Oryza sativa Japonica Group: one gene and its partner. The protein of the gene in region 1 interacts with the protein of each later gene in a pairwise test. Links are inferred from orthologs where the notes say so. Each region holds a gene or a part of one and is shown in the gene's direction. Other genes may lie near its edges.

Evidence for each region.
Region 2: the proteins of cleavage stimulation factor subunit 77 (region 1) and cleavage stimulating factor 64 interact in binary tests that used the Arabidopsis thaliana proteins (3 or more experiments, as listed by UniProt). The link is inferred for Oryza sativa Japonica Group from reciprocal best matches to the Arabidopsis thaliana genes CSTF77 and CSTF64.

The regions. Positions count from the first base shown.
Region 1 is NC_089046.1:24,234,125-24,238,545, forward strand, and holds the start of cleavage stimulation factor subunit 77, read left to right. Parts: upstream 1-1,400; 5' UTR 1,401-1,588; intron 1,589-1,680; 5' UTR 1,681-1,726; coding exon 1,727-1,777; intron 1,778-1,904; coding exon 1,905-1,967; intron 1,968-2,099; coding exon 2,100-2,209; intron 2,210-2,602; coding exon 2,603-2,703; intron 2,704-3,198; coding exon 3,199-3,260; intron 3,261-3,354; coding exon 3,355-3,495; intron 3,496-3,770; coding exon 3,771-3,899; intron 3,900-4,421. UniProt on the Arabidopsis thaliana protein: One of the multiple factors required for polyadenylation and 3'-end cleavage of pre-mRNAs. Required for the targeted 3' processing of antisense transcripts that triggers transcriptional silencing of the corresponding sense gene.
Region 2 is NC_089045.1:3,842,890-3,847,343, forward strand, and holds the start of cleavage stimulating factor 64, read left to right. Parts: upstream 1-1,415; 5' UTR 1,416-1,601; coding exon 1,602-1,647; intron 1,648-2,033; coding exon 2,034-2,112; intron 2,113-2,570; coding exon 2,571-2,745; intron 2,746-3,866; coding exon 3,867-3,900; intron 3,901-4,013; coding exon 4,014-4,252; intron 4,253-4,344; coding exon 4,345-4,422; intron 4,423-4,454.

The DNA.
Region 1 (4,421 bases):
CGATGAATCGTCTCCGTCTCCAACATCGACTCAACGCACTCCTCTATCCCCATGGCAATGTTGGGCTATAGTGGCACCGCTGGTGCATAGCTGCCCACCGCTTGCTAGCCACTCCGACGAATCACCTCTGTCTCCAACATTGATCCAACGCACTCCTCCAGCCCCATGGTATTGGTGGGTTCTGGCGGCACCGCTAGTGCATCGCCATCCACTGCTAGTCGTCCCTTAAATCCCCACCCCCTCCCCGAAATTCAATGGCTAATGTAATTGACTGATGTTTTTTACAATTAACTGCTGAACAACAAAGGTAAAAATTTAAACGCTATAAATCTTATATTGCTGGATGAAGGGAGCAATATATAATAATAAATAAATATGAGAAAATTCGATTGGTAGCATAGGTATTGTCCGAGTAAAATAATAGCACAAGAAACTTGTTTCTTCGCCTGAAAGCACAGCTCTGTTAGAGATTTCTAAAATTTAGCACTTCCGTCCACTAAAAAGACCAAAAAGAAAACCCTTAGGTCAATTTCTTCTTCCTCCTCCTTCCAGTCCCTCACTGCATACCTCTTCCCCTGTTCATCGCTTGCCTCTTGTCTCTTATGCATGACCGAGACACCACGCATAGGCAAGGTCCAATTTGTAAAATTTAAGTTTTTATCTTACATGTGTATGGTGGTTATTGAAGTTGAAATTGATTAGTTTTTAAGGAGTATATGGTCCTTGCAATTTTTGGTCATGCTCACATCTTCACCTAGCAATAAGCCCTAGCAGCCGTTGCAAGCAAGTCGGCCACTGCCAGCGTTGAGCTCGACGGCTTAAACAAGCTGCTAGCTACTCGTATTCCCTAACCCTCAGCCAGTCGCCATCTTCAAGCAACCACCAGCCATCGTTGTCAACAACATTGAAATAGCAGTTGCGGCGCATGGTCGCGCAAGCCTGCCGTCGTCGCTATTTTCATGGCGTGCGCAGCCTCTAGTCCAAGTGCTCTAGCGCAAGTGCCCAACCTAGTCATGTGTAAATGCAGAGAATAATATGGACAAATTGATCTTTCTCTGTCCCTACTCATGGCGAAAAACTTTGATTAGACCTGTAGTTGTGACGGAAATACAACGGATAAAATAAAAACAAGTGGAATATACTTCTGATCGAAGGTGGGAATTTTGTGTGCTATTTTTTGGATACCGACATGTTTTCTATGTTATAGATCGAATTTTCTCAATAAAAATATAATACAAGAGGAAGGGTAATGGACCAAGTATTGAGAAATAATTTTTCTAATAACATGAAAACTACCCATACGACGTATGTATCCTCGAGCTACAGATACGCTGGTCCTTGGAATTTTTTTTAAAAAAGAAATCCAAACATTTCAGTAAAATTCATCTAAAATTTCTTCCAAACACATCACTCCGGCGCCCCCTGATTTCTCCGTTCGCTCGCGCCGCCTTCCGCCGGAGTAAGCTCTCCGCCGCCGTGAACTCGCCGTTCTTCCCGCCGCCGTCCTCCTCCGCTTCCTCCTCCCCTACAGTGGACTGGCGTGGGGTGGAGATCCCCCCTATCCATCCCGACCGACTCCTTTCCCCCGGTGAGGAAGCCCTAGCTCGCTCCGAATCCGCTCTCCCAATCCTCTTCTTCGCGGTGAGGTAATCCAAACCCGAATTGCTCTGCGGTGAACAGGAATCCGGCGCCCTCGCTGGCGGCGGCGGCGGCGGAGTTGGAGGCGATGGACATCTACAATGTCGAGGCCGCCGAGATCCTCGCCAACGAGGCCCAGGTGAGCTCTCCCCCCTCCCCCCGATTCGCCTCGCTTCGCGACCGAGTTCACTTGAGCTGGGTTGCACTGACGAGCTCACCACGGTGTTGCGCGCTTGCGCTCCGCTCCGCTCCTTCCTTGTCTCCAGCTGCTCCCAATCGGCGAGGCCGCTCCCATCTACGAGAAGCTGCTGTCAACTTTCCCCACTGCCGTGAGTCCAGTTCGATTTCGACTCGATGTTTTGCTTGCTTTGGGGTTGCATCGTATATCTATATATAGGTTCGTCTGGTTCATCTAGTGATGCCATTTCACTTGGCTTCACCTGCTATATGTGTATGTGCAGGCGAAGTACTGGAAGCAGTATGTCGAAGCTTACATGTCCGCGAAGGATGATGAGGCCACCAAGCAGATATTCAGCAGATGCTTGCTCAGTTGCCTTCAGATTAATCTCTGGTGAGTGGAGGCCATATTTGGAGATTGTACATTAGGCACACGTTGTAGTATGCATATGTGGGATGTGTTGAATAAATTGCTTTACTGTCATTATGTGAATTATCATTGTTATCGCTGGTTGTGTCACTGAACTATATTCCTACCGTGATATGTGTGGTTTGGGATTGAACTTCTGTGTCAAATCATGCATGTAAATCATCAAATTCCTAAGCAGTCTCTGCTCATTTAACCTGATGGTCTCATTAGCCACTAGTTCCCTGTTATGTGATCTCATTTGTGATTGTCTGCCTTGTTTTTGTTGCTCTTAGTTTTGCCTATTCCCTTGGATCTAGTATTAGTATGTTTTCAAGTGCATCATTAACATTTCCCTATTTGTCTGGGTGTAATTTGCAGGCGTTGTTACATCAACTTTATCAGGAGAGTGAACGATAAAAGGGGTTCTGATGGTTTGGAAGAGACCAAAAAGGCTTTTGATTTCATGCTGAACTATGTTGGTAAGTAGGCACTTAATTATATCTAGTGCCTGGTGATGATGTGACTTCCTAAGTACATTTTTTTAACATAATTTTGCTAAAAAAAATATGGCGTCACATATTTGGCTTGATTTCAGTCACTTTTTTTTCACTGCATTATTGATAACTACCCTTTATATTACATGTAACTATACTTGTATTTCTCATCTCTCTTTCTTATTGACTTTTGTGTTTGTCCTTCTACTTATGTGTTAATTTGCACTAGTACCTTTTTCAATGATTCAAATAGATGATCAACCTTTTTCGTAGTTCTCTTATATAGGGAATGATAAAAATATAGAGTGTAAGATTTGAAAATTACACTGTAAATATATGAAAATTACATTGCAAGATATGGAATTTACAGTGTAAATACTGGCTGAAAGGTTTGACTGTTTTTTGGTGAAAAATGTGGTGCCATAAGTATAGATAATCCCTCTTTGTTTTTTCTTTAACTTGGACACTTAAACTTTCCAGGCAATGATGTTGCTTCTGGCCCTGTTTGGATGGATTATATTGCTTTCTTGAAGTCAATGCCGGTTTGTTTTCTTCCTTCTTGTTTCCTGTCCTTCCCCATGTTAACATTCATCCCTTCTATTATTCTGTGTAAATATTTCTTTGCATACTCTTCAGGTTGTGACACCGCAGGAAGAATCACATCGTATGACTACTGTACGGAAAGTATATCAGAAGGCAATTTTAGTTCCAACTAATCATGTGGAGCAGCTATGGAAGGATTATGAGAATTTTGAGAATTCTGTTAGCCGCACCTTGGTAATTGTAGTTTCCATTTGAATCTTTGATCTTTGTGAAAATTAGCTAGCAAACGACTCTAATCGCTGTCTGGTAAAACATATGGTGCTGTAGTTCTTCATGAACATGACACTTGCAGATTCAGTGCATCCTCATTGTATCAATAGTTCTAGTATTTCTGTTAGCAGGTTTCATCTTTTACTTTGTTTTCAAAATTAATATTATCAAATCTAAAACAATGTAACTGGGTTACATTTGATTCATATGGAGTTGTTGATTATCAATCTGTATTCCAGGCAAAAGGTTTGTTATCGGAGTATCAGCCAAAGTTTAACAGTGCCAAAGCAGTATATAGAGAGCGTAAGAAATACATTGATGATATTGATTGGAACATGCTGGCAGTTCCCCCCACAGGCTCCTACAAGGTAATCAGTAAGTGAGGTTCTAACATTGCTTTACACCAGGCATTGATCGAACCTACATATGTTAACTCCACAGTTTTTTTTTTTGGGGGGTGGGGGGGGGGGGTGGGGTGGGGGTGTCCTGCATACTTACTTTCCATGCGTTGGCTGTACTTTTGTAATCACATAAATTACAATTGGCATAAAATGTTATTCCTACTTTCTCGTTGTCGTTTGATGGTGGATGATTGAAAACAGAACAATGTGATTTTTGTAGAAAAACATGATAACAGAGGTTTTTCTTTGAGTACATTTTCATTCTCGAATTTTAATGATGCTTCTTTTCCAATTGCTGGCAGATTCTACATTTTCTTTAAACCATATAGCTGCTGAAGTTCTAATAACCAATGAACCCCTTTTTCTTAATTATCAGTTGCATTCTAGCAGCAGAAGTTTATTTGCTGTATATTTCAAATTATGTGATTAATATTGAAAAGAGATGGTTCATTGTATTTGTGTCTGTATGAGAGAACCAAATGAAACCTT
Region 2 (4,454 bases), on another chromosome or scaffold:
TGCCCGTTAGGTGTGAAATGTACTAGTAGAATTTTGGTGGTACGTTTTGTGTGCGCTTAATCAGTTACAAATTCTGAGTTCAACTGGATGTTGAGGGCTGTTCAGATTATAACTAAAATAAACTTTACTAAATTTTGACAATACCAAAATATGTCATATTGCCAAAATTTTGGCAGGATTTCTTATGTATTTAGTACAGTTTGGCAAAAAATTAAATAGATGCACATGTTTGTTAACTCTACCAAAAAATGATATGGTTTGAAATGGCATCAATCTAATTAAGCCCTAAAGTTAAACTTACCGTTGCTTTAGTGTTAGTTGTTGTAGTGGACAAGTGGTTTCCATCCTAATTTTGAAGGAAGTACACTAGATTATTTTCATAATATTAGGTATATACACGAGATTATAAGAAAACCCAAAAAGCAAAATAAAATTATTTTCACTCTCTAATCATCATATCATATATCATATTTGAGTATTTGACACAATCTTTCATATGTACATAGAATTACACGTTTGCTCGTACTGATGAGCAATTGTTATAAACTACTACTATTCACATTGAATTTGATTCATGAAGTGGATGCTGGCATCATGAACCCACATGAAACCAAGAGTATCTGGTTTGGTTGCCGCAACTTGTCACACCCAAGGTTCTGCGACCAGCATTTATGCCATGGGTGTTGTAGTGAAAACTACTCTCATGTACATGTAGCTATATTCAATAATTTTTATTTGAAAATAACAAGAAAGACAAACATGTATATTGGATACTACAATGATATCTTAAACAATTATTACTATTATTTTCATATTTTGGCTTGGCTTAGTTTAGCACTAACGGTGCCAATCTAGGGTGTGTTTAGTTCACACCAAAATTAGAAGTTTGGTTGAAATTGAAACAATGTGATGGAAAAGTTAGAAGTTTGTGTGTAGGAAAGTTTTGATGTGATGGAAAAGTTAGAAGTTTGAAAAAAAAGTTTGGAACTAAACTCGGCCCTAGGCAAGAAATTTTGGTACCAAGCAAACAAGCTAAGGCTTAAAAATTATGGCACAATTAGGTTTAAAAATTCGTCTCACAATTTATACGCAATCTGTGTAATTAGTTATTTTTTATATTTAATACTTCATACATGTGTCTATACATTCGATGTGATAGGTATAAAATTTTACCAGGAGATCTAAACAAGCCCTAACTTAAATTGACAAATTTAACTCCAAATTCGTTTTGTACCAATCCAAACAAACCTCTCTACCAAAAAAAAAACACTGATGATGACCAAATTTTACAAAGTTAATGGGCCAAACATGCCGCCAAATTAAATTCGCCTAAAATACCAATCAAAACTCTAGACACAGACACGGAAAAGGTCTTCTCCCCTTACTATAAACGACCACCACACCCCGCAAGCTGCACTCATATCCGAACGACGCCGGAAATAGCAAAAAAAAAAAGAAAAGAAAAAGAAAAAGAAAACTCGCCGCCGCCGCCGCGGCCGCGCCCCCACCTCGATCTCCCGCGTCGCCACCCCGAACGCCGCGCCGCCGATGCTGCCGCCCCGCCTCCGCCGCCCTGCCGCCGGCGACCTCTGCTGACGAGCATGGCCGCCGCGGCCCCCGCCGGCGCCCAGAACCGCTGCGTCTTCGGTACGGGCCCCCTACCCCCCGCTTCCCTCTCGCCGTCTTCGGCATGGTTCGATCCTGAGCTGAGCTCCGGGGAGGGAGCTCACGGTGTGCGTGGGGTGCGGAGTAGAGAGAGAGCAAAGGCGGCTCGGCTCCTTCCCGTCGATTTGGGCCTCGGCTGATTTCTAGCCTAGCCGCCTCGCTCTCCTCGATCCGTAGTGGGATTGTTCGTTCTTCGTTTGGGTGTGGGTCGATGAGAGTGAGGAGGAAAATGAAGCGCGTTTTGCTCGGTTGCGGTGCTAGATTTGGGGAGGGTTTAGTGTTTGACCAATTTGGTTTGGTCTAGGGTTTACTGCTCGTGCCCTTTCGATTGACGGATGCGTTTGTTGGTTGTTGAATTTTGGTTGCAGTCGGGAACATTCCTTACGATGCGACGGAGGAGCAGCTCGTGCAGATTTGCGAGGAAGTCGGCCCTGTGGTCTCATTCAGGTTTAATTGTACTGCACAAACCCTCAAAATTGTGTGTGTGTGGAATTGGTGTTTAGGATGGTTAGAGTTAAGCTAAATAGGTTCTGCAAATATTTGGATTTGATTCAGACAGACGTGTGTTGGATACTAAAGTTTTGCTAGTGTCTGTTTTTAAAAATAACTTCATGCCTTTTATTCTCCTTACATAATAAGGAGTTCAGGGGTCAGTGGTATCTGGTATGGACATAATGCTTGGCACACTTTTTTTTCTATGAAATAACATTATACCGTGCACATTTAAAAATAATCGCTAATTGAAGTTTAATGGCTGAACTACATGGTGCTACTAATATCGCTGATAACTCTGAACATAGGAATGTGCCAAGTTTCCTAGCAGCTGCAAGTGTTTTTTAATCTGGTAACACGTGGTAAGATAGTTTCGACTACTCATAAGCTCTTAAACATTTGGTGCTTTGCAGATTGGTTATTGATAAAGAAACAGGGAAGCCAAAGGGTTATGGGTTTTGTGAGTACAAGGATGAGGAGACTGCTCTAAGTGCACGCCGGAACCTTCAAGGTTATGAAATTAATGGCCGTCAGTTACGTGTTGATTTTGCTGAAAATGGGAGGAATGCTGACAGAAACAGAGAAAAGGTCGAAGATCCTCAGTTTCTTACTGTAGAAGAAACACATTTCTCAACTTCCAATTCCTATGTTAAGATGAGAGCTTGTATTGCTTTGGTTCCCATGAATGATAATAGTAGTGTTTTCTCCAACCACCATGTGTCGTATGTTTCACTTTTGTTTGCAGCATGTGTATGTATGTACAGCTGCCTGGCTGTACATACACACACCTGCTATATCTGCCAATTTATCTCGTGAAATTATCATTCTGGTATGGCGCATTATCTTTGGCATCTCCATTTATAAAAAAGAATATCTCTGTTGTCACATCTCCTTTTATTTATGGAATCCGTCTGCCAAAGGCTGTTTGTTGCCTAGCAAAACCATATATCATCATTGGAAGAGCTTCGCCAGAAGTGTTCTGAATAAATAGCAAAAGAAGAATAGTAGTCACTAGGAAAGATGCATCTGTAGTTTCACCTTATGCGATATACTTGAGCAAAAAGATGAAACTGCTAGTAGAATTGAGTGCTGAAACAGTACCCAATTGAATTTTTAGAACCATTTGATATGCAGGGAATTTCACAAAGAAATAATTCAATTTCCGCATGAACCAGGAAATTCCAAATGAGACCTTTATGTATGTGCAGAAGGGTTTACAGTTTCTTTTGGTTTTCTACTGCACTGGCACAAAAATATTCTTAATCTTCTGAGATGCTATCAACACCAGCCTTTGAATCCATCCCATACCAGTGACTAATGCTGATATAAGTGGACCAATCTTCTGTTGCCAAATGTCAATGAGCACACTAAGAAAATGTGCATCACAAGTTCGCAGCTGGATACAGTTGACTGATGTGTGACTTGAAAAATAGCGCAATTTATACATTGTTGTACATGTCAGTGTGGTTTTTTGTTCTAATTATCTGGAGATTATAATGCAGTGGTATTGTATGATATCACTATATGCAGAAAACTTTCAATATACTACTATAAACATTGTGTATTAGATATTAGCTAGCTTCAATACGGTAATGTAGTTAGTGCATGCTTTCAACAATGAATATTATTGATTTATAGGATTCTTGAGATCGATTTGGTTTTGCTAGAGATTCTATTGACTTATGCTGGATATGTTTGTGTATTTTCAGGGTCGTGGAGGACCTGGAATGGCATCCAGTGTTGGTTGGTATCATTTCCTTTATCACTCCCAAGTTTATGTGTATGCTTTACTATTTCTAATCTGCTGATTTTATGTTTGTGGATGCTAACACTGATCTATTGATGGAATCCTGCAGATACTCAGAAACAATTAGCTGGGACTCCGGTTGTAGGCGATACAGGTCTTCATCAGCCAGTTGGTCTTCCATCGGCTATTCATGCTGCATCTGTGATGGCTGGTATTCTTGGAGGATCTCAAACTGCAAATGTTCAAAATGGTTTACCTGTCCAGTATGGGCTTGGAAATGACCCTCTTACTCATTATTTGGCCAGAATGTCAAAGCACCAGTTGTATGAAATCATGTCTGAGTTGAAGGTTATCTTGAAATCTTAAGCACTATTGTTTCTTAAATATTAGAAATGGCCCAGTACCAATTGCAGTTTATTAATGTATTTTTTTTATGGCAGTCCCTAACTAGTCAAAATAAGGATGTTGCCAACAAACTGCTGCAAGGAATTCCACAGCTGTCAAAGGCCCTATTTCAGGTTAACTTTTGCTAATATTGATTTTGTACTTA